7 linked regions of the Xenopus tropicalis genome follow. The protein of the gene in region 3 purifies or fractionates together with the protein of the main gene of each other region. This does not show direct contact. Links are inferred from orthologs where the notes say so. Each region holds a gene or a part of one and is shown on either strand. Other genes may lie near its edges.

The links.
Region 1: the proteins of prkacb (region 3) and prkar2b purify together in Homo sapiens (affinity purification with mass spectrometry; 7 studies listed by BioGRID and IntAct, counting the BioPlex papers as one, with this or other methods). This does not show direct contact. The link is inferred for Xenopus tropicalis from reciprocal best matches to the Homo sapiens genes PRKACB and PRKAR2B.
Region 2: the proteins of prkacb (region 3) and akap11 purify together in Homo sapiens (affinity purification with mass spectrometry; 5 studies listed by BioGRID and IntAct, counting the BioPlex papers as one, with this or other methods). This does not show direct contact. The link is inferred for Xenopus tropicalis from reciprocal best matches to the Homo sapiens genes PRKACB and AKAP11.
Region 4: the proteins of prkacb (region 3) and pde4dip purify together in Homo sapiens (affinity purification with mass spectrometry; 5 studies listed by BioGRID and IntAct, counting the BioPlex papers as one, with this or other methods). This does not show direct contact. The link is inferred for Xenopus tropicalis from reciprocal best matches to the Homo sapiens genes PRKACB and PDE4DIP.
Region 5: the proteins of prkacb (region 3) and prkar2a purify together in Homo sapiens (affinity purification with mass spectrometry; 6 studies listed by BioGRID and IntAct, counting the BioPlex papers as one, with this or other methods). This does not show direct contact. The link is inferred for Xenopus tropicalis from reciprocal best matches to the Homo sapiens genes PRKACB and PRKAR2A.
Region 6: the proteins of prkacb (region 3) and vapa purify together in Homo sapiens (affinity purification with mass spectrometry; 4 studies listed by BioGRID and IntAct, counting the BioPlex papers as one, with this or other methods). This does not show direct contact. The link is inferred for Xenopus tropicalis from reciprocal best matches to the Homo sapiens genes PRKACB and VAPA.
Region 7: the proteins of prkacb (region 3) and akap9 purify together in Homo sapiens (affinity purification with mass spectrometry; 5 studies listed by BioGRID and IntAct, counting the BioPlex papers as one, with this or other methods). This does not show direct contact. The link is inferred for Xenopus tropicalis from reciprocal best matches to the Homo sapiens genes PRKACB and AKAP9.

Annotation. Positions count from the first base shown.
Region 1 is NC_030679.2:76,663,705-76,667,204, reverse strand, and holds part of prkar2b (cAMP-dependent protein kinase type II-beta regulatory subunit), read left to right. Parts: intron 1-2,028; coding exon 2,029-2,135; intron 2,136-3,500. UniProt on the Homo sapiens protein: Regulatory subunit of the cAMP-dependent protein kinases involved in cAMP signaling in cells. Type II regulatory chains mediate membrane association by binding to anchoring proteins, including the MAP2 kinase.
Region 2 is NC_030678.2:132,806,060-132,809,559, reverse strand, and holds part of akap11 (A-kinase anchor protein 11), read right to left. Parts: coding exon 1,744-3,500; intron 617-1,743; coding exon 461-616; intron 1-460. UniProt on the Homo sapiens protein: Binds to type II regulatory subunits of protein kinase A and anchors/targets them.
Region 3 is NC_030680.2:77,758,749-77,761,999, forward strand, and holds the end of prkacb (cAMP-dependent protein kinase catalytic subunit beta), read right to left. Parts: coding exon 3,115-3,251; intron 2,793-3,114; coding exon 2,667-2,792; 3' UTR 501-2,666; downstream 1-500. UniProt on the Homo sapiens protein: Mediates cAMP-dependent signaling triggered by receptor binding to GPCRs.
Region 4 is NC_030680.2:118,175,242-118,178,741, reverse strand, and holds part of pde4dip (myomegalin), read right to left. Parts: intron 2,935-3,500; coding exon 2,853-2,934; intron 2,508-2,852; coding exon 2,410-2,507; intron 2,085-2,409; coding exon 1,968-2,084; intron 1,533-1,967; coding exon 1,395-1,532; intron 994-1,394; coding exon 881-993; intron 204-880; coding exon 61-203; intron 1-60. UniProt on the Homo sapiens protein: Functions as an anchor sequestering components of the cAMP-dependent pathway to Golgi and/or centrosomes.
Region 5 is NC_030680.2:136,484,714-136,488,740, forward strand, and holds the start of prkar2a (cAMP-dependent protein kinase type II-alpha regulatory subunit), read right to left. Parts: upstream 2,801-4,027; 5' UTR 2,504-2,800; coding exon 2,239-2,503; intron 1-2,238. UniProt on the Homo sapiens protein: Regulatory subunit of the cAMP-dependent protein kinases involved in cAMP signaling in cells. Type II regulatory chains mediate membrane association by binding to anchoring proteins, including the MAP2 kinase.
Region 6 is NC_030682.2:104,685,147-104,688,646, reverse strand, and holds part of vapa (vesicle-associated membrane protein-associated protein A), read right to left. Parts: intron 3,433-3,500; coding exon 3,280-3,432; intron 1-3,279. UniProt on the Homo sapiens protein: Endoplasmic reticulum (ER)-anchored protein that mediates the formation of contact sites between the ER and endosomes via interaction with FFAT motif-containing proteins such as STARD3 or WDR44.
Region 7 is NC_030682.2:31,557,614-31,561,113, forward strand, and holds part of akap9 (A-kinase anchor protein 9), read left to right. Parts: intron 1-2,060; coding exon 2,061-2,237; intron 2,238-2,966; coding exon 2,967-3,071; intron 3,072-3,500. UniProt on the Homo sapiens protein: Scaffolding protein that assembles several protein kinases and phosphatases on the centrosome and Golgi apparatus. Required to maintain the integrity of the Golgi apparatus. Required for microtubule nucleation at the cis-side of the Golgi apparatus.

The sequences.
Region 1 (3,500 bases), on a different chromosome or scaffold from region 3:
CGTGGAATTCCAATAAAATTGATTCATGTTTGTGGCTGTAATGTGACAAAATGTGGAAAAGTTCAAGGGGGCCGAATACTTTTGCAAGCCACTGTATATACAGTGAGATGCAGTGGGTACTGAGACTAGGCATTTCAGCATGCCCTCACTCATAGGTTTGTTTCACAACCATGCAGTCTCATGAGGGTTCCACCTGAACAAACTAAAAATGAACAAAACAATAAAAAAGTAAGTGCAAATGCAAAAACAAAAAGTGTTAATTGAGGTCTGATAGGGATATGACTGATGCTAGGTGATAAATAAACAGTTTAATTCCAGCTAGTTAGTCGCCATTTAGGCTCATGGCCCAGGGGGAGATTAGTCGACCGCAGTTAATCTTGGCTACCACAGAAAACTAATCTCCCCCAAAAGGCTTTTTTTTTTTTACTGGCAATAAAGTGAATTGCTGGTGGAAAGGCATATGTTTTGCTTCATTTTCTGAAGTTGCCTGGGGGAGGAAACTTCATGTGACTTTCTGCAAATACTTCATATCAGTCTTTTCTTCTGCTGCCTTTGTTTGATATCTACCCAGCTCTGCCTACTTCACTGTCTATGTTAAGAGCTATGGAGAAGCTACAAGAAGAAAGAGCCAATCAAAGCGCAATATGACTATGAAGATTTTTATTCATCCAGGTCATGGTATATCTAGTATAAATAAATCTAAAGCAACTGGACTTGTTAAGTAATCATTGAAGACGTTTCACTACTCATCCGAGCAGCTTCTTCAGTTCAACTGACTGGTATGGGAAGTCCTCAGCATATATACTCTTCCACTAATCCAATCACAATTGCACTTTGTAACTCTTCAGAAAGGTGACATCTGAAACTCACAGAGGTGTGAATGCTGTGGAGTTACTTTGTATCATGCCACTCTTCAAGTGTTACTTGTTAGAGTTGCATGAATGGATGTGTGAAGAGTTTTGCTGTATTTCTACACCTAAAAGACAAGGGACACTCCTTTGAAAATAGCAACATCCAAATTTTGTACAAAGAAGACCGCTGGTTTGAAAGAGGCCATTCATGTCAACGTGGAGAAACCATCCCTAAACAGAGGCGGGGGACTTCAACACCATCTGTCTGCTACATACAATGCTGTTCTAACATCTGTACCCTGGCAGTTTCAGAACTCTTCACACATGTGAGTTTCAGATGTCACCTTTCTGGAGAGTTACAAAGTGCCATTGTGATTGGATTAGTGGAAGAGTACATATGCTGAGGACTTCCCATACCAGTCAGTTGAACTGAAGAAGCTGCTCGGATGAGTAGTGAAACATCTTCAGTGATTACTTAACAAGTACAGTTGCTTTAGATTTATTCATACTAGATAATCAAAGCGCAACTGATTACCAACTTGCAGAAATTGAAAGGAGTTTTTCCACACTGTTTAAATTATCAGCAACAGTCAGTAAGGAAGTTGTTTAGGGAGGTTTGGGAAGGCTTAGCAACCCCAAACCTTATTAAAAATTCACCCATGCCCATATGTAAAATCTAAATAAGCTATTTTCACTAAAATGTACCTTTTTAGCTGTATGTGCCATAACAGAATAGACTTAAAATATAAAAACAGCCAAACTTTTACAAAGAAAGAATCCAAGGCACTAGGAAAGTAACAACAAAGTAACAACCTGACTGTTATAGTTTAGCAATATTTTGCCTTTGCTGTTACCCACAATGGCATAATTTGGTAATAACCATTAAATTCAATTTTCAGGTCCTTTCAGGTAGACACCTTTGTGTTTTATATTTTTCAGTCACCAAATTGTCCATGCAAAGTATCTTGCCACAATAACATATCTGTAATTTGGGTTTCATTTTGAAGTTTCAAGCACATTGATATGTTTATAAAACTGGGACGATTTAGCAAGGGAAACCATCTGAAACCAGAAAAATATAATTGGAAATCAGTGGAAACTCTATATCTATTATACATTTTAATATAAAACAGTGTTTCATTTAGTTGTTTAATTAATAATGTGTTCTCTTCTGCAGGAACAGATGTCTCAGGTATTAGATGCAATGTTTGAAAAACTCGTAAAATGTGGAGAACACGTAATTGATCAGGGTGACGATGGAGACAACTTTTACGTAATTGACAGGTAAAAAATGATTTTGACTTAAAAATGTTTAAAGAGGAAAACCTCAACTATTCTGATACATTTTCAGTCTTATGTTTTGCCAGGGTTTAGAATCATATTGAGCTCTTTTAACAGGTGTCAGTGCATATATATATAAAAAAGAACTGTGTTTGGTATCTTATTGGTAGAGTTTATACCATATTCAGTACCAGTTTTGCCACTCAATATAGCATCTGCTATTGCTGGTTTCCAGAACTAATTTCTGTAATAGGTATTACATTTGGTAAAGCATAGACACAAGCCAGATGTCACATATACAGGTATGTCACAAATCTGATTATACATAAATTAAACTAAGTTGCCAGATGAGTGAAAACCATTTAGCTTTCTCTGTCCCAATAAAATAAATGTGTGAAATTGAAAATATCTGACCCACAATTAATATATCTTAGTATTTCTCTAGAATACCACACAATACACAAAATCCCTGTAATGTTTTACTACCATATATATATATATATATATATATATATATATAGCAAGAAAAGATAGAAGCCGCACTCACAGGACTTAGTATTGTGAGTGCGGCTTCTATCTTTTCTTGCTACATAACTTGTTGAAGGACTGCACCCAGGCACAATTAGATTTTTTGTTACGTGAGTGCCTGCTGTGTTTTGGTTTTCTATATATATATATATATATATATATATATATATACAGCAGCGAAGAGATCCGCACTCACAGGACTTATAGAATTAATCTGGTGTTTATTGAGAAGACTAACGTTTCGGCTACCTCAGTAGCCTTTTTCAAAGTGACTCACACAGCTAAACCAGTGTCTAATTAACATGTTAATTATAACACAGACTGAATACCTTAAACCCATATGGACTTAATGAACTGGTCTCATACTCCCCTTTTTATTTGCCCTAACCTTTCACCTCTATTCATAGTAGTGGAAATTTCCTGTGCTTGAAGGGGATGTAGTTCGTGGCTGCAGTGTCTTCACTTGTCTATACTCCACCTATGCCTTTAGCTTTATTGACAGTATTTCGCTTCCCTTAGTTTGTTTAGTTGCGTGTTCATCTGTCTTCTGGCAGGTCAGTTACTTATAGTACCTTGACATTATAATTCCTTGTGATATTCGTGTAATAGGCTACCTTGTTATATCTGGTTTCTTTTCACATGTTGCTACATTGATTAGATCCGTTACAAGTATCAATCATGTTTCTTTTCTTTTCCTGTCCATTTGTTACTTTGTTACTTGATACACATACTTATATCAGTCTCCTTACACCATGTATGTTTGGCTCTTTGATTCACCTATCCCCACCTCCAACAATACAGTGTCTTCAGCGCTGGTGGCACGTCGGTATAATTGGCTCC
Region 2 (3,500 bases), on a different chromosome or scaffold from region 3:
TCAGTGTGGTGAGTGGCTATAAAAAATCCTTGGTTAAAGTGGTTCTTAAACTGAAACTGAGTGAAATCCCCCATGAGCCAAGGGTCTGAGGCAAGGCACCCAGACCCATTATATGAAGCGGTGAGCAAAGCTTGTATAGACTTGTTGTTCTGAATTTGGTTTAATTAAAGTGGCTTAGAGCAGATTTCTATTCTATAATTGGTTACAGATGCTCCATCTGTAGTTGTCAATCACACTCTGAATAGAATTATAACATCAGGGTTAGCTAGGGTTCCAAATACAACCGATGGGATATTAGGTGCCTCTATCATTGGCAAAAAAGGAGAATAGTGGGAAAAAATGGTGTCCTTTGAATCCTCCTTTCTCACTAAAGCTGTAATGTCTAAACTAGTAAGATATCTTAGGATCTGTTTTTTAAGTAAGTCCTTTGTATAATACATGCAATATGACATTACATTACCTGTCACTGAGGTGAAGGAAACTGCTGCTTTCATCTTGATGTTCATCTTCAAAACTCAGATTGGACCAGCTGCCGGTACTGTCATCCCCAACACTGACACTTGTCTGCTGGCTAGTAACAGATTCTGCTGACTGGAATCCATCTTTGCCATCAGAACTAAACTCAATTTGTAATGATAAATAAACACAAAATAGCAGATTTAAAACTCCTAGTAAATTGATTTAGTTTACTTACATACTGAAAGAATTAAAGTCACTTTTGTGTAGTGAAATAGGTTAATGGACAAGTAAAGACCCCGCCCCTATTTCCCAAATGCTATATTATGCTGCCTAAAAAAAATGATTTTTATAGCATTGCTGGTCATTTAATTATAGCTTGCTCCATAATGCCACCATAATCAGGCCACCATTTTGTCTTTCTTCAAACTTTTTCCTCTGCCCCATCTTATCAAGCCAACACCCCCCAGGCCACTCCCTGATGATAAAATCTTATATACAAACACACTGAATGCAATTAGACATGAAATTTGGACATAAAAAATAACCTCTTTCCACTAACAACGAAAATGATGTGCAACAAACACCATGAGCTAATTTGTTAGGCAACCCCACGTGTCTGTGCCTCTCGAGTATTGTGCCTCCATGTTTTTTCCACTTTCCCAGGCATCATATGCACCACCCTGGGCAAAAGCAGCACAGTACAGAATATCTTTAATTTCCATTTTGGAGTTTATACAGTTTATAGACCTGTGTTCACCCCACAAATACATAAATGCCTGCTATTGGTAGTGCTGTATTCATGAGGGTCAGGGAAGGCAGGTAGATATCCCCCTTCCAACTGCCCCTTGCACATCATTCAGATGCACAAGTTAGGGAGTGCCAGAAGGCACAGCCCACAAAGGAGACTTGTACTGTCTTCCAAAGGAAAGACAATTAGGACAATACTGCCCTGTACCCCCTGAAGCAAAGCTAGGCAACTCGTGCTGTTTTTTTTTTTTTATCCAGATAGGTGCAGAGTGCAGCCTGACTTATTTTACACTCCTTGTGTGTGCTGTGTATGCTTCTAAACAAAGCTTTCTTTACTTAACTAAAGTCCATTGTTTTGATGTTTAGACTTAAAGGTCAATGCTACAGTCGTCACTGTTACTTCTTTCTCTTATAAATGTACTTACAGTAGCACCTACTTCTAATTTGTCACCTATAATTTTACAGAGGTTTTGAAAGAAAAGACAGCAAAAATAAGCAATATAAAAGAAACACAGTAGGTCTTGAGATCTTTCTTACCTTTGGTTAACATGTCCAATGTTCTTCATAGCACACATCATTATTTCTGTGGTGAGACTATCTGCAAAGCTGATCCCTTCTGGCCCAATACCACTATCGGCAGCCAAACTTGTGTTACTCAGCTCCCGCTCTGCTTTTCCTATAGCAGCACTAACAATTTTTTCTGCAAACATTGCCCTCTTATCGAAATCAATATGAATTTTAGGTATATTATGATGAAAAAGTCTTGATTTTTGACCAGTGTTATGTTTAGACCTTGAACATTGTTTCATTCTTCTAGAGACATCAGGTCCCAAGAGAAAATGACAAGACGACTGAGTGTGTCCTTGTTCCTTTGCACTGCAAACCCTACAAACAGGTCCATATGAATGCATCAGCTTCCCATTATGTGACACTTTATCGTTGTTTTTCCTGTTTTCTAAAGCTTGAAGTCTTGCCGTTTCCAAGGTAAATCCTATGGTACTATCAACGACTTTACATGCATATTGCTCAATAGCTTGAATGACACCTTCTTTAAGACCTTCATCATTTAGGCTGCCAGTGCTATGATACAGTTTATTTGTCTGTGAATATGGAAGAAGACTCTTGGAAACATTTCTTTTGACAAGGTCACTAGTTGTCTCATCAATTTTTGATTTTGTATACAGACATGAATCAGTCAGTGATTTAGGAAGAGAAACGGCTGATATTTTTAGCTTTGTCCTTACATCACAAGTTATTGTATTAGCAAGAGTTTCAGCAAAACGTAGCAGGCCTGTGAACTCTGGTCTACGGGAATCTTTCCCGTGTCCAGAAGATTCCTCACCAAAGGAATGGTTTGAAATGCTCCTCCTTCTTTGCTTTTCCCGCTCTTGGTGCTGTGTCATGCTTAAAAGCCTGAGAATTTCCTGCATGCTGTTAGCTTCTGAGTTCCTTCTGGGTGCTGGCTTCTTATTGCATTTCAGTTTAATTGTTTTAGAAGCTTGTTGTAAGCCAGACTTTACAGCTCTATAAACTAATCTGCTGGCATACTGATCAATGATTAACTCGTTGTTCCCTCCTTCCATTTTTAGAACACGTATAATATGATCGGCATACTCCTCAGTCACACTTTCGCAGCTTGGGTATTTCGAGGTCAGACCGGCAGCAATATTGTTATAAGGGAGAGAAAGAGTAGAAGGATCAGATTCTTTAAAATTCATACTTGTGCAAATACACTCTTTTTCTTTTGGCCTGCAGTCTCTAGAGTGTTTCCTACAATGACTGCAATCAGAATCACAAACTGATTTCACCTTTGTACTCTGTTTCTTGCCCACAACTTTCTTTGCATCATGAAGGACTTCTCCAGCAATAACACCTGCATATTTGCTAAGTGTCTCCAAGGTTTCCTCAGAAATATTTCTCATGTATGCAGGGTATCCCCATTTATCACTCAAGACATGTAAAAGTGGCTTATTTTTTGCAGAAGATCTACGGACGGATTTATCATCTAAAGCATCTGCAGCCATTTCAGTGGCTACAGATAAGATGTTAGTTGACAAATAGTCAGCATACTGAGATGTTTCTTCAGAAACCTCAATATCTTCATCTTCAGAACTGCCATCACCACTAGAAGTTTCAACTTCTTCTGATAGTGACCGCATTACTTTTAGAAGAAAATCATCTTTCTTTATGCTGTCATGTTCAGAGGCGATTAAATGGGGTGTAGATGGTGGAGTAGCTGGATAAAACTCTTTTGCCAGTTGCCCTTTAAGTTTCTTACTAAGCTTTTTCATGCT
Region 3 (3,251 bases):
CTATGCATGGTGTGAAAGCAGCTGTATTGCTGCCTCTGTTGGTTGCACATATTTCTTCATCCATGTTTGACTAAATGGAAGTATATTAAATTAACAGTGCAAACTGGTGGCACAGCAGCCTGTGGGGCATAAACATGCTTAATCAACTTTTATTACTCTGCAACATGAACAAAGAACTGAATAATGCAAGGGTTTTCCCTGCTACAGTGCTGATAGGCACCCGCTAAATACCAGAAATTGAAAGCCATATACACATAAGGTGAATGAAGAGAATCTGTGCAGATTTTCTACTGTCCGTACTGTACTGATTATCTACTGTCTAAATTTTTACACAAAGCGCTCCACTATAGTAATAAGGCCACATGCAGTATATGTGAATACAGAAAGCTCAATACATACCTTCTATATAGAGCTGTTAGGTAGAACATGAAAGCACTGCTAATGTTTTATTGTGGGACACCACATTCTGTGGCACTGAGAACTAAAATCATGACAAAGTGTGATCTCCAGCATTTATTAAAATCTTTTTAAGTTCATAAACGACAACAAAGTTACTATAGAATTGATTGCATACAGCTAGCATACACAGCATATCCTCAGTCTAAATGAAATACAAAAGATTTTAACATTTTCATACAAAGAATCCTTTTAAATTTATTGTGATGTATATATATATTTATATATATTTTTTGTTACATAAAATTTGCTACAGCAAAGTATCTTATACCTTTCTTGCACAAGGAAATAAGGATGGATAAAGACTGCAATCTTCGTCAGTCTCCTAATCACGCTGTTGTGCAAAAATGCTTGACAACCTAAAGACATACAAGAATGTTGGATAGTACATCTTAAACTCTGTTGAAAAATGTCTACAAAGGCTTTTCTTACAGGAGTGTCATACAGATTAAAAGGAAGTAGTGCCAGCGATCTATTCCCACTGACGTTTAAACAAATACAATGGCTATATACCAATACAGATCATTTGAATAAAAACAATTGTCTTTTATGCATGGAAGTGGATAATAAAATGCAACTAGTTTATTTTAAACTGTTCAGATGTGCTGTTTTTAAGACAAGGGTACATAGATACAGAGATGTGTACAAATATAGTGGAGAAGGTTTGAAAGAAAAAAAAATGTTCAGAGCCACAGACTTGTAACAAACACTGACACGGAAAAGTGCTGTTAGCTAGCACGTGGCAGCCATGTTTTGAGTCAGTTTGTGATTAAAGAAAAAGGCAACTAAGCCCAGATAGAAAGTGTGAATGTACATTCTGTCTCACTGGTAGAAGGCTGGTTATTATAACTCAAGCCAATGCTATACAATAAGGAGAAACAAAAAGAAAAGAAAGCATGGAGTAAAACACTAGCAGTGACAATTTTTGCTTACATTATCAACTTTTCATGTGAACAAAGAACTGTTGTTGTACAGAGGCATGGTAACAGTACTTCATTCTCCGATTACTAATATAGTATACCAGAATAAAACTTGGCAAGAACCTTTATTCTTTAGAACAAACAGAAAATGAGAATCACCTTAGCAATGCAATGACTCTGCGCTTCCTTATCGAATGTGTTTTTCAGACAGGAACAGCTTTTTTTTTCATCCTTTATGATCTCAATATGTTTATTAAACAGAAATAAAATATAGCTTTAACTGCAGAGCTGGTAAAGGAGTCATCATGATTTTATCACTTTTTATTTATTTATTATGTTCCATTTAAAAAATACTGACCAAAACCTGCTGTAAGAGCAGGTTTAATGTTATTTAACCCCCCCCCCCCCATATGGTGTGACATTTTAAAGTCAGCATTATGTAATTGAAAGACGTCAGCTGTAAATCCTCAAGTTTAACCAAAAAATGTGCTATGTGCCGTACAGTATGGTCACGCAACATTTAGGTCCTGCCAAAGCAAGGAACACGCGGGAAGGGGCAGCACAGTTAAAGAATAGAAAACCAAGGCACAGGATCTATCTAGCCAAATGTAGCACTCAAATTGATTTCTAACCAGTTTTGGTCAATCTCTAGGAAGAATTTTGTTCTTGAAATTATTTCCATTAGGAGATTATGGCCATGGTTAAGGTTACTTTATAAAAACCTCTCAAAATAATATTGGCCAGTAGTTCCAATTTGAGCTGTGACATGAAACATTTACCATCATACATAAATAAGGATTTACAATGTAAAACAAAAACCTATGGAGTGGCAGAGACTAGAAACAACACTTCCTCCATTGTAAATTTTCCTAATTGCAGCAACTCCCAGATCTCTCTCTTGTACCCCCTGCCCCTCCCAACAAATAATAATACATTTTCAAAATAAAAGGGGTGTAGTTGGGTAAAATATACTTAAAAAGACAGCTGTGAGGAGGAGGGCAAAACATACAAGATGTAAACAAAAAGGAAAAAAAAAAAAAAAGACAAAAAAAGGAAAGTGGTCTAGCATTCTGTGTTACAGCACAAATCGCTTGGTTAATTGTGCCTAGATAAAAGGGTTGGTGCAAAATGCACACATGGAAGATGGCAAAATAGACCTCAGTCAGCCTTGCGGAATGAAGGAACTAGGTAACTGTTGTGACATAAGATGGTCTCAGCTCCACCCCATCTGCTAATAGAGTGCAAAGATTCCAATATGAGCCCTGATGTCATCTTGTCCTCATGCACATCCTAAAAGTCGGCAAACTCTTTTGCACATTTTTCTGTCAGAGACACACGAATATCTTCTTCTTCATAGTCATCAAAGTTACTGGTATCTCCAGGCCCTCTGCACTTTGGTATGAAGGGAGCTTCCACCTGATTTGTAAAAGGGAAAATGGATAAATACAAAACACTGTTCTTGTGACATTCCATGAATCATCAATTAATATTTGAATGGCCAATTAATTCAGGGGCACTGATAAAATGAGACTGGGAATAGGAAATCCTAAAGAATGCTACCAGGTTCTGAGCGCTCTCTATAATCAGCTTGTCTTTTGGCCCCATGCTAAAGTAAGTAATATTTGCAGGTATGTGTAAGGAAAGACACATGTGGCAATTAGTAGCTGCTACACTCATTGGTGTGAATAATTTATTATTATTATTTATATAGATTTATTATCTAACAAAAATTCCTTACCTTTCTCTGATAAATTGCTATCCAGTCTGTTGTAGCAAACCATTTGTGGTTTTTGATGTCATTAACACCATTCTTCAAGTTCCCATATCGTTTGGTCAAATCTACCTGGAGCAAGTTCCTTAGCAAGTCTTTAAGGT
Region 4 (3,500 bases), about 40 Mb from region 3:
GTTCAGATTAGAAGGCATGCGTGTGCATGTGAGGAACGCTCAAACTCCCCCACTCCCCACCTCCAAAGGTGATGGCCGTCAGCCCCCGCTCTGAATCCAGCTGCCGAAGGCGCTCTGTTGCCATTTCTAGGGTGTCTTCCAATTGGCACGTCAATGTCTGTGCAGTTAGAAGTTCTTCCTGAAGTGCTGATGTGCGTTTTATGCTAAATAGATTTGTGCAGATAAAGGCAATTTGTTGTTAATATAAAAATCTACAGCACACACTCAACATACAGTAATGGATGTTCCTTATTCTTTCATTAAATACAGAATGGCTTTTTCCAGCTGTCTAGCAGATTTGGAAACCAATATTTTTATCAAAGAACACGCTCGTGTCATGTTTATTAAGTATTTCAGATAAGGAGTGCTCTTCACACTTGTACAGACAGCTTGAAGCCTATGAATAAAAGGACGCAGAATGAAAATGACCCCTTATGCAACTAGAAATAGTGGCCATGGGACTACCATTGCACACGTGCAGTTGCCGATAATCTAGAAGTTACTTTAATAGATTGATTCATTGGTGGATGCAAGGAAAATGACATGTAAGGGCTACTGTTTGTCTCCTGTGTATACAAACAGCATATATAGGTTTTGTTTAATTTTTTAAAAATGTCTGAAACCATAAAACAATGTCACATGAAACAATGTCAGCACCAAGTTTTAGTGCTTGGAAATAAAAATATGCTTGCTATGAATATGCAAAGGCATTAGTAAATATATAGTATACATATACATATAATATACATAACCCAACCAAATGGAATGAATAGTCAGCGCATCCTGCTGCACATTATACAAGACACACAATGAATTATGCATCAGAAGGAACTCTGCTCACCTGTCTGGGTCAGAGTGAAACTGCACCAGGCTGCTGTAAAGCTGTTTCTCTGCATGTAATGCATCATTCAGCCTGCTTCTGTCAGCAACAAGCTCCTCCAATAGCTTTGATAACTACAATAGGCAACAGAACAAAAGGGCATTGTATAACGCATGGCTTATTTGAAACCTGGAACACACAGCTCTACAAATAATGTTAATGTAAGAAAGCTGGCTAATACATTCACGGATGAATGCTGTACAATTCCCATATTTATGAAATCCGTTACACTGCTTTTAGAAAGTCTGAAATAGCACAACAGCTTTACATTATTACTACTGCGTCCTGCAATGTTGATTAAAAACACTTTTAAGCTTGCAGCATGGAACAACTTTTAGCTGATGGGGAACAGGGTGCACTGCAATTCTAAGATTAGCCTCTGTGAAATTATTATTGACATACTGGCAAAAGCCCTAATTGCTGTGTCTCAGTGTGGCTTGCAAGTGGTTGCTAAAAAGCAAGAAGACTAAGATACCTTCTGGTAATGATCTATTCCATGCTCTGGTTCTGGCACACCTGATATAGCCAATTTCTCCTTCAAGCTTAGGACTTCTTGGGTAAGATGCTCCACTGTAGGTACCTCCTCTGGATCTACCAATTGCATCTGCAGATCCTAAACACCCAAGACAAGTGGATCAGGCATTTGTAATATTCAACCATGCCAAAGAGAATGGGAACTATAGTAATATATAGGTACAGAAAGAGGATTAAACTTATTCTACCTCACAATGCAGGAAAACCTTACTATCTATATTACAACTGCCAACAGCTGATGTCCGTGTCCTTACAATTAACCTCCTTGTTAAGAAAGCATCATCAGATAAAGTGAATTAGCTCTCTAATGTTCATATAAAATTGACGACAAACACAGTTCATAAAAGCAAAGACAACAATAGTAAGGCATGCCTGCTTGTGAGTGGTTATTGGGATCAAAACAGAGACGCACATTTCCCTAGCATCTCTAGTTAAAAGCTAGTACTGGGTCAAATGAAAGGCTACAAAAGGTAAGGCAACACTTGTCATTTCTTGTTTCTCATGCACAGTTCACCTTGATTAGATCCTCTTTTATCTGAATACTCCTGTTCAAAGCATCCATGTCTGCTGCTTGCTCCTGCAGCTGCTCACTTTGCTCTCTGATAACAGACTGCAGAGCTGACACTTCAATCTGTTAACAAAAACAGATGAATTTACATCTCTGGCTTCAAGAAAATAGCAAAAATTATGGAGACTAAATGACAATAGTGGATAAGAGGGTAGCATTGAAAAGTCTCACTTGCAGCCTAGGATCCCTCAATAGGGTACATGGTATATTTCATGTCTGCTCAGGGGCTGATTATTTGACAAAAGGGATACATTTTCAGTTTAGGGTTCTATAAGTAATTTTCCTAAAGGAAAGACTATAGAGGCTTTATTCATGGAGAATTATATTTTAGCTAGCAATAAAACAATGTAAACATTTTATACATATATATATATATATATATATATACCTGATTTTCTCTTTCCTTTCTCAGAACAAGCTGCAGATCATCTTTGGCTTTGGCAAGTTCACTCTCCAATGCTTCAGTTTGGTTACTCTGTGCAACTGCTAAAGAAAAGTCAGCAATCATTAAATGCACCATGTCTTTCAGGTAATGCTTAACTGATAGGCCTTCTGAGAAAATATCTACTTCTATTGTAAAATAAGAAACTGTGTCCCAAATAAACAAATGCATTGCCACTACAAAAAAACATAATGGTTACTCATTCTAATGCAGTATGGTTACGAATGGTTAATCTTCCATGATTTGCTTGCCCATTATGCATATCTAATTACTGCAATGGATTTATGGACTTGCACCTATTTAATGCTATTTAATGGTACATAAGGGGGTGCAAATCAGTACTTTCAATTCAGTGGGAGATTTAAGGATGTTATTTCCCTCCAACTCACCTGGATCTTTCAGATCTGCAGACAAAGAAGTCACACATACTGAGATTGGATGATCAGAAAGTGGCTTGGCTTTCGCTAACTGCTGAAAACAATAATACATGTAAATGAATTATATTAGACATTAAAAGTCTAGAAACTGGTTGCTGATGATAATGGGTACAGCAGAAAGGTAGAGAGCAGTGTGTTTTAGTCATGATCCAGTGCCCTGTTCGTGCCAATAGGAGAGCTTTATTTTTTGTTGATCCTGTGTCCCCCAGAAGTTGCAATGAGGTAAAATATACACTTTCAATGTAACATACTTTGGCATAAAATTTATTGTGTACATATTTATGTGTAAAACTTTCCTGCCTCCTGGACGGTGAAGCATAATCCCCATTCGTTCCCTGTACCCCCTGATGTGAGAAAACTTGATTTGTGGTATACATCAGACAACTAGAACTACCTTATCAGTATATTGCAAATCCTAAATTAAATTATTTCTTGGATTTAAAACAAAAGACTCTGGTATAACCTTTTCAAATGCAGCAAGAGGAGCCCCACAAAGCAAAGGTATCGTCTGTGAATTTTGATGGCTTACGGCAGCCACACAAGGGCCAATTCTATGGCACATTGACAAACTGGACTAAGGGGTGTGTCTGCACGGGGGCG
Region 5 (4,027 bases), about 59 Mb from region 3:
TCCAAAGTCCCACAAAGTTGCCTGCAGGAGGAAGCTTCGCGCCACTTTGGAAGACGGAAGTGATGCCTTTCCAGTGGTGATCCCCTTTGTTACCACAGGAAAGGCATTTTGGAGAGATTAGTTGCCCGCGGTAGCAGAGATCTATCGCAGGTGACTAATCTCTGTGTGGGACGCTATCTACAAGGTTTCAGAGAGCACAATCTGTAAATCGATTATTTACAGAGAGAGATAAACCAAGCAATTATGAAGGAAACCTCACAAACATTAGAGAAGACTGTTCCATATAAAGTGGGTGCAATTATTGGAAAATGAGCAGCAAGCATAACCAGCAGTGATGTTTCTGTAAGAGAAAATGTTATGCCTATTGCAGAATGAGCAGCAGGCATCACTAGCAGATATCCCACAATGCAACTATAAGCCTGCCTAGTAGGTACATTACTTATACTGATGTAGTGTCCTCTGCCCTAAAGGGAGACCTCAAACATGTACATGCCCAGCAAGCTTGAAATTTATTTTAAACTCAACAAAAGACAAGAAATGTGCACAGTGTGTCCTGCCCACAGGAGCTTGGTACTTGCCACCATTTCTAAGTAATATACAATCACCCCTTATTTTACAGGGCTTTAGGACATCATTGAAAGGGAAGTTTATTAAAGGGGAACTCCACCCAAGTACAACTTGAGCTTTTTGAAAAGTAAAGCTAATTTCAAGCAACTTTGCAATACACAAATTTTAAAATATGCATCCATTTCATGATTTTTAATGTAATAATATGGTTTGGAACAGTTCCCTAAGCCCCGCCTGATCTGGCCGACTACTTTGAGACTCAAATAAAATGTAACAGTAATTGCCTGCATCCTCCCAATCACACAATTCCCTGCACACGTGATGTCAATAAGAAACTTCACGGTGCAATGCATTGTGGGTTATGTAGTTCCTGCATGCTGTCTGTAAGCTGTGGAGAAGTTGTTACAATTTGTAACATCAATGTTTTAGTCCCTCCTCCACTGCTAGGATTTTAAATGATGCAGAAAGAGAAGAACTGTTTTGCAGCTGGACTTCAGCATATAAAAACTGTATTTCAAAAGAACAGATTACAGTGACAGGTATATTAGGAATGACTATTGTGTGGGGCTCTTTAACAAATTTTGGTTCAGAAGCCGGAGTTCCCCTTTAAAGATCTAAAGGCTATGAAGCGAGACCAGACACCAAAAAATGACTTATGCGCCTTAAATCATTTACAGTTTCTCTGTAATTGGTAATTTTAAAAATCACTGGCAAGAAACAAAAAGTACTAAAATAAAGACATTGGAAGCCCTGCTCCACATGAGGAGATGTCAATTCCTCAGCCCTCTGTCAATGCAGGTAGTGCATCTGACTTTACAGCATCACAGGGGCACCTTTGGGGCAGGAATATGCGGAAGAAAAAACCGAAAGAGCCACTCAAAACCGGTTCCTTGCATCAAGGAAGAAATGTCATTCTAAGCACCTTTCCAATATACATTAACGTTGGTTATGGAAGTTTATTTGTAAATGAGTTCTGACTGTATCTGCCTGGCTGTTTCCATTCTCTGCACTGCTGGTTCTGACACAATGTAGAAGTAGCAGGTAAATAAACTGGCTGTTTCCATTCTCTGCACTGCTGGTTCTGACACCTGACACAATGTAGAAGTAGCAGGTAAATGAAGTGATCTAGGGCAGAACTTCAGCTACATTGTTGCAAGAGTCAAGAACTACATATTATTATTAAGGATAAAGACATTTGTCCCACAGTTACAAGTGTAAATAACTTCTCATACTGTCAGTATTGGGGGGGGGGGCACTTTAAATGAGCACATGAACCCTATCCAAGCTGCAGCCCCCGTGTGTTGAGCTGCACATCGGCCCCAGCAGAGCAAGGCAGGGAGCTGCACATTAACAAAAGCTGGGGGGCAGGATAGCTCTTTGATGAATGTGATTTTGTCTGCCCTCTCAAATGGGGGCCCCCCAGCCTTCCTGCATTGCCCGGGGGCCCCCCAGCCTTCCTGCATTGCCCGGGGGCCCCCCAGCCTTCCTGCATTGCCCGGGGGCCCCCCAGCCTTCCTGCATTGCCCGGGGGCCCCCCAGCCTTCCTGCATTGCCGGGGGGGGCCCCAGCCTTCCTGCATTGCCGGGGGGGGGCCCCCAGCCTTCCTGCATTGCCGGGGGCCCCCCGTCTTCTCAAACTCCAGCCCTGCCCACAGCACATGCGGCCTCTTACGTTCGAAATCGGAGTCATCGTCATCTTCCTCGTCCTCCTCTTCGTCCCCGTTAGACTCGGTCTGCATGGGTTCCCCGTCGAAGTTGACCACCCGGGCGTGAGGCCGTAAAGAGCCGGCCCCTGCGCCATCCTGGAGCTGCTTCTCCTTCAGCCGGGTGAAATACTGTATCGCAAACTCCACCAGGTCCGGCGGCTTCTGGCGCAGCACTTCCACCGTATAACCCTGCAGTAAGTCCGTCAGGCCGGGCGGGATCTCGATGCTCATCGTCCCCGGGTTGGGGGGGGAGGTAGCCCCGTTTCGCTGCTATTCACACCTTACACTGGATAAGCTGAGCCACCAAGCAGGCCAGAGGGTGCTGTCCCCCCCTCTCTATATTCCTGATGGTTCCTCCGCTCGCACAGTCCCCCCTCCCTCCCCCCAACAAACCAGCGGACGCTGAGGAGTTGCCGCGGCTCAGGGAATCACCTCACACAGCCAGAAACCGGCGAGAGCGCAGCGCGCACTGATCCCTAAGAGCAGCGAGTAGGCCGGATACGCGAACGCGCAACAGGAGGCGGGAAAAACAGGGCAGAGCACTGGCTAAGAGGGAGGGACTATTTTCTGACGTCAATCCCTCGTCCTCTTCCGCCAGTATATTACATGGGGAACGCGGCTGCTTTGTCAACCTGCAACGTTACCTGAGCTTCTATGTCACCACGGTCCATTCTTGAAGCTGTCGTAAATGCGTCGAAAAGTTGAGCAGAGCTGTCATCCCTCAGGAAAAGAACTTACATGTCACTTGCTTAGCCCCACCCACTCATGCCAATAAGTGACAGCGGCCGGTGACGTTGGGTCCGCCCCTCTCTGCGTCATCTACTGCCTGGCCTTGGCTTAGGAGCGCTGGGAGCCAATGAGCTCTGTGTAAAAAGGTGAAGATAAGAGCGCTCAGTGTTGCAGCAGCTCTCTTGTTTTAATATGGTGCTAATAATCAGTAAAAGCTCAGTGTAGGCCAGGTTGTACCGCAACTGAATTAATGCTGCTATTTTTGAGTAAGAGACCTTCAAATGTTATTGACTGAAAAACTCCTATTGTCCTGTGGCAGATATAGGCTGTTGGGGCTAGAGGCAGAGTAAAAATACCTCAGGTACCAGAATGGACATATTTGCGTCATAGATGTATTCATGATAGAGAAGTATAGGAAGTAAATGTCTTGTTGGTACAATATGATAATAACTAGAGCTTCTCCAGCATTTAAATCCATTTTTCAAAAGCGTAAACAGATTTTTTAATATTTAATTTTGAAATTTCACATGGGGCTAGCCATATTCTTTATTTCCCAGGGTGCCACAGCCATGTGACCTGTGCTCTGATAAACTTCAAGTTCGAGTGATACCCCCCCCCCCCCCAGCAGCGGAATCAGCAGAACAGTCGGAAGTTAGCAAGATAGCAGCTCCCATTAGATATTAAAGGAGAAGGAAAGGCAAAGTCACTTGGGGGTGCCAAAATGTTAGGCACCCCAAGTGACTTTAACCGCTTACCTTGTACCCCGGGCTGGTGCCCCTGTTCGGAGAAAACAGCACCGCTTTCTAAACTGCCGGTGGCCGGGCATGCACAGTAGAGCGAAAAAGCCGACTTCAATATAAGTTTGGCTCTTCACTCTACTGCGCGCGCAGCGAATCGCAAAGGAGGAAGCACAAGCAGCTACCCCGGGTTGGTGCTGTTCTCTCCGAACAGGGGCACCAGCCCGGGGTAAAAGGTAGACGGTTAAAGTCACTTGGGGGTGCCTAACATTTTGGCACCCCCAAGTGA
Region 6 (3,500 bases), on a different chromosome or scaffold from region 3:
AATAGAAAATACCTGGTAAAACTTGGCTTCCTGTCAATTGAAGTACGGCGATACGGCGAAGGAAGCAGCTGAATCAACTATGTGACGATCGATTGATCGAGCCTAGCCTTCTTTCTGTATAGGAAGGAGTCAGGCTAGGCTTGATCAATCGATCGTCACATAGTGGATGCAGCTCCTTCCTTCGCCGTACTTCAATTGACAGGAAGCCAAGTTTTACCAGGTATTTTCTATTAAAGCATTTAAAATACTAAGTGGTTTGCAGGATAGGACAGTTATTGGTGCAGGGTAGAATAGCTTTTTTAGTGTTACTTTTCCTTTAAGAATGATAAATCAACACACATCTTTGTAAATGTGATCTGGGTGTGATGGGATGTTAGACTGTCAACTTCTGCATTCTGGTACGCAAGTGGGTCTAAAGAACCCTTAAAGCAATACTGTCATGGAAAAACATGTTTTACTTCAAAACGCATCAGTTAATAGAGCTTCTCCAGCAGAACCATGCATTGAAATTCATTTTTCAAAAATGCAAACAGGTTTTTTAAAATTTTATTTTGAAAAATTCACATGGGTATAGCCAAATTCTTCATTTCCCAGGGTGCTACAGCCATGTGACCTGTGCTCTAACTTCAGTCACTGCTGCGCTGCAAGTTAAGGTGGCCATACACTGGCCAATTCTAGCGGTCCTTTAAACCGACATGGCAGCTTTTGCGCCCGTGTATGGGAACAGATGGGCTCGCTAGACCAACATATAGCTTGAAATCAGCCAGATCTCAACCGGACAGGTTTGATTTTTCAGTCGAATTGGGGACCGCATTGGCTTGTTGATTCACCAAACCTACTGCTCCTATACCCACCGTTCTAATTCAATCGTCTGGCCCCTAAATTCAAAATCTTAATACTAAAAATGCAGCCAAAAAACTCCATCTTTGCCTAAGTTTTTTTTCTAATTTGTGCGGTCTCAGGATTTGTTTGTTGGTCATCCACCTGCCTACCAACAATTGTACAGCATAATTAATTTCTCAAGTTTGAATAATATTTTCAATGTGGCAAAATTCCTAAACCAGCTTGATGACCATTTCTTCCTAGGGATTAAATAGGGCCATCATTATCATTAACAGGAAAGTAAACTAAAAAGCTAAACAATCCAAAAACAAAGAAAAAAAATAACGATCCACATCGCATTAATATTATGGTGAAGCTATCTTAAAATGGAAATGTGCAAAATGATATACAGTGGTGTGAAAAACTATTTGCCCCCTTCCTGATTTCTTATTCTTTTGCATGTTTGTCACACAAAATGTTTCTGATCATCAAACACATTTAACTATTAGTCAAAGATAACACAAGTAAACACAAAATGCAGTTTTTAAATGAGGGTTTTTATTATTTAGGGAGAAAAATAATCCAAACCTACATGGCCCTGTGTGAAAAAGTAATTGCCCCCTGAACCTAATAACTGGTTGGGCCACCCTTAGCAGCAATAACTGCAATCAAGCATTTGCGATAACTTGCAACGAGTCCTTTACAGCGCTCTGGAGGAATTTTGGCCCACTCATCTTTGCAGAATTGTTGTAAGTCAGCTTTATTCGAGGGTTTTCTAGCATGAACCGCCTTTTTAAGGTCATGCCACAACATCTCAATAGGATTCAGGTCAGGACTTTGACTAGGCCACTCCAAAGTCTTCATTTTGTTTTTCTTCAGCCATTCAGAGGTGGATTTGCTGGTGTGTTTTGGGTCATTGTCCTGCTGCAGCACCCAAGATCGCTTCAGCTTGAGTTGACGAACAGATGGCCGGACATTCTCCTTCAGGATTTTTTGGTAGACAGTAGAATTCATGGTTCCATCTATCACAGCAAGCCTTCCAGGTCCTGAAGCAGCAAAACAACCCCAGACCATCACACTACCACCACCATATTTTACTGTTGGTATGATGTTCTTTTTCTGAAATGCTGTGTTACTTTTACGCCAGATGTAACAGGACACGCACCTTCCAAAAAGTTCAACTTTTGTCTCGTCGGTCCACAAGGTATTTTCCCAAAAGTCTTGGCAATCATTGAGATGTTTTTTAGCAAAATTGAGACGAGCCATAATGTTCTTTTTGCTTAAAAGTGGTTTGCGCCTTGGAAATCTGCCATGCAGGCCGTTTTTGCCCAGTCTCTTTCTTATGGTGGAGTCGTGAACACTGACCTTAATTGAGGCAAGAGAGGCCTGCAGTTCTTTAGATGTTGTCCTGGGGTCTTTTGTGGCCTCTCGGATGAGTTGTCTCTGCGCTCTTGGGGTAATTTTGGTCGGCCGGCCACTCCTGGGAAGGTTTACCACTGTTCCATGTTTTTGCCATTTGTGGATAATGGCTCTCACTGTGGTTCGCTGGAGTCCCAAAGCTTTAGAAATGGCTTTATAACCTTTACCAGACTGATAGATCTCAATTACTTTTGTTCTCATTTGTTCCTGAATTTCTTTGGATCTTGGCATGATGTCTAGCTTTTGAGGTGCTTTTGGGCTACTTCTCTGTGTCAGGTAGCTCCTATTTAAGTGATTTCTTGATTGAAACAGGTGTGGCAGTAATCAGGCCTGGGGGTGACTACAGAAATTGATATTGAAATTGAAAATTGAAATTGATAAACCACAGTTAAGTTATTTTTTAACAAGGGGGCAATTACTTTTTCACATAGGGCCATGTAGATTTGGAGTTTTTTTTCTCCCTTAATAACGTGAACCTTCATTTAAAAACTGCATTTTGTGTTCAATTATGTTATCTTTGACTAATAGTTAACGGTTTTTGATGAGCAGAAACATTTAAGTGTGACAAACATGCAAAAGAATAAGAAATCAGAAAGGGGGCAAATAGTTTTTCACACCACTGTATACACGTAAAAGTGGTCTCTGCATCATTTGTTGTTAGTACAGGTATGGGATCCCTTATCCGGAAACCCATTATCCAGAAAGCTCAGAATTACGGAAAGCCCATCTCCCATTGACTCTATTTTAATAAAATAATTCAGAATTCTAAAACCGATTTCCTTTTTCTCTGTAGAAATAAAACAGTACCTTGTAATTGATCCCAACTAAGATATAAATAATCCTTATTGGATGCAAAACAATCCTATTGGGTTTAATTAATGTTTTATTGGTTTCTTAGTTGACAAGGTATGGAGATCTAAATTATGGAAAGACCCCTAAATCTGGAATACCCCTGGTCCCGAACATTCTGGATAACGGGTCCTATATAGGAATACGAATAAGCAAAGATGTCAATTTTTAATTGTCAAGTACACCAACCTGAAACTGTGACTGTGGATCCAGGGTCTATGGTGCCACTGTTTGGTCGCACACAATAACGCCGAGGTGCTGTAGTTTTGACTTTAAAACATACTTTTTTATCTGATGGGTTCCGTAGTTTTAGGTTTGTTGTTACCACATCTGTAAATGGACCTGCAAAAAAAAAAAAAAAAAAAAAGTGCAACAAAATTAGCAATTGTGCTATCAATGTATTGCTTTAT
Region 7 (3,500 bases), on a different chromosome or scaffold from region 3:
ACTGCTGCAGATTAAAGGTGCTTTGCTCTGTTGTACAGGTATAGGGCCTGTTATCTAGAATGCTCAGGACTTGGGGTTTTCCAGATAAGGATCTTTACATAATTTGTATCTCCATACCTTATGAAGTCTGTGGGAGACAGCCTTCCTATAATTTGGATAAAAGATCCCATACCTGTATAATTAGCTTTTTTTAAAGACTAGTTCTTTTTATTGAACATCAGTCTGTCCAGTGTCAAGTCAGAGGCAGCTGGAAAATACCATCAAGCTTACCACGTTTTGTACAGTAACAGCTGGCAGTGTGCTTGATACAGTAGTACAGTGCTGTCCAACTGGCGGCCCGCGGGCCGCATGCGGCCCGCGACCCCCCTCTGTGTGGCCCCCCACCTGTCTGGCTGCTTTGATGGCTTACCTTTGAGTAAGCATTAAATGGTAACAGTACTGAGATTAACTGGCCCCCTGCATGGTTTTCACCTCAGATTCAGGCTGTAATCCCCCTGTATTGTTTAAAAATGTAATCCCCTGTGTTTTTCACACCTTTTAATACCTGCATGGTTCACCCCCTGCAGTGTTCACACCTCAGGCTCAGGCTGTAATCACTCCCATTGTTCACTTCTTCACACCTCAGACATAGGTACTGTAGGCAGAGTATGGCACATACAGCCAGCATAGGGCAGGTAGAGTATGGCACACACAGGCAGCATAGGTCAGGGAGGGTATGGCACACATAGGAAGGGTAGGGCAGGCAGAGTATGGCACACACAGTCAGGGTAGGGCAGACAGAGTATGGTACACAGAGGCAGCATAGAGAAGGCAGAGTATGGCACACATAGGCAGGGTAGGACAGGCAGAGTATGGCACACACAGACAGCGTAGGACAGGCAGAGTGCTGCCTGTGTGTGCCATACTCTGCTTGCTCTATGCTGCTTGTGGGAGGTGAACCTGGCAGGGGTTTGTTGTGGGAGTTTGTTAGCAGTTGGAAATAGCCATTAAATGGTCCCTAAGGTGTGTAATTATGTACTGGGGGTTGCTCTGCTATCCACAGGGGAGGAGGAGGCATATGGAATTTAAGGGTATATCTTAATATGACATAATTCTTTCACATATGAATGATGGTTGATATCCCCACAGTAAGGACCAAGCATTTGGGATTTTGCTGTGTTACCACCATTGTGATAAAATAGGTGTGGTTTGAAGTGGGTGTGGTTTCAAAAAGGGGAGTGGTCAAAACTGGCTTCCATTAGCGGCCCTCCACCATGTATGCTAGAGAAATTCCGGCCCTCGGCACCGTAGAAGTTGGACAGCACTGCAGTAGTACATTGGGTCCTGTGCCTATAATCATGTTCCCAGTGAAAATATCTGAATCATCTGTACCTATAGAAGAAGCTGGGAAAATACAAATTAATTTGTCAAGAAATATAAGAAAGGTCACTTTGACACACCCACCTCTGTTTTTATGTATTTATCCGATAGCACCTGTTGATCCAGTGCTCCTTTGTTTCCCTTATTGTGCATTTTTATAATGTTTGCAATAGGCCTTCTTTTTTTGTGGTTTTTCAGTTATTTAGCTTTTTGTTCAGCAGCTCTTCAGTTTGGTATTTCGGCAGCTATCTGGTTGCTAATGTCTTAATTACCCAAGAAACCAGCCAGTAATTTGAATGAGAGATGGAATATGAATAGTTAAAGGACTGAGTACAAAGATAAGCAGTAAAAGTAACAATAACGATAGAATTTTAGCCTCAGAGAACAATAGTTTTAAGTCTGCTGCTGTCAGTGACCCCCCTCTGAAAGCTAAAAAAAGGCAGAAAAGGAAGGTAAATAATTAAAAAAATAAAACTATAAAAATAAATGATGACCAATTGCAAAGTTGCTAGGAATAGGACATTCTATAATATACTAAGTGAATCGCCCCATTAAATATTAAAGTATTCCTTTGGATCTGTGTACATTGTGCCATAACTCACACGTTTAATTATACAAATAGATGCATCCACCAATGTACGAATGTACAATTTAAGAGGTATTTTTGGTTGATTTTTTTTTTTAAATTTTTTTAAAAAAAGCTTGAAAAACTGGAAACTAACCTAAAGGAAAAGACAGACAAATGCAATGAACTGCTGCTCTGCAAAGAACAGTTCCAGCGGGATATTCAAGAAAGGAATGAAGAGATTGAGAAGCTGGAGTGTCGGATCAGGGAACTGGAGCAGGCCTTGCTCATCAGTGATGATACCCTTAAGAAGGTGAGTTAATTTACTTGTGACCTTCTCCCTACCTTAATATGTGATAATGGCTAGATAGGTGCATACACACGCAAAATGAAAAAGGATCCTCCACACCCAATTATCTTGTTGTATCTTGTGTCTGTGGTGCTTGGATCCAATATTTGTTAAGTAAGCATTAGCTTTACAAATGGAGGCGCAAAACTTGCCATAAACTAACTGATATTATCGTATGAAACCTTGTTTAGTACGATATTCGGTGTGTGTGTATAGTGGATCGATGAGCCGACCTGTATTGCAAAGGCTGCAAATATCGGTCGTCTCGACGATCGGCTGAGTTAAAAAGGCGGCCGAGCAAAGTCTGCGTTTAGGGCTGAATCGGCAGGTGAAGGTAGAATCCCTACTTCTACCTCCATGTCTGACAATTTAGCCCTGAACTTTAACATGTACATGTATGGCCACCTTTAGGCACAGCACCAGTGAAGATTCATGTAACGGGTGTGTGTGTTTTTAGGAATAGAATAGGATTACCCCACCCCCTAAATGTTGTTACTCACTCTCTGTAGATAAATAAATAAATTCAGAAATGGACTGGCAATCTGTTGATTCTGGCAAATACCAGAATAGGTTACACAAACTATCTGTAATGCTTTTTGATGTGATTTTTGTGTGCTGATTTAGGGATGGACGAGGGATGAAAAGTTAAATACTAAATAAACAAGTCTAAGTAATATGTACATTTTCTTGAAGGTGGAGCTCAGAAGACAGTCCATCGTCATTAGTTCCAAAGGAGAAATACCTCTAGAAGCACAACTCCAAGTGGAGCGTGACGCAATAGATCGAAAAGAAAAAGAGGTGCGAATTCCCTTAATTAAAAAAGACATTGAGACCTTTTTATTAATAGTTTATCTTAATTGTCTACAATTTTTTTCCTACATGCAATTTGCATTAGGGAGCAAGGATTTGGAAAGTGAAAGTAGCGATGGTTGCTACCAACCAATAGAACAGGATGATAAATTAGCCACACAGGTTGACTGACTTTTCTATATGGCAGTACCTTCAAATTAAGTCTTTTCAAAAATGCTTTATGACCTATTGCTACAATAGATACTGAATCGAAACATTTGGAAATATTGATTGATCCTATGATTGCTAGAATGCAAATGTTGAGAAGGGCTTTTTTCACCTTTTGAGAGGTGTCAAAATTTCTCTGCTGCAGAAAAATGTACACAGGGTGCAGTGAAACAGTGCCAGATATTACAAACTTATTATGTGAGTGGTAGG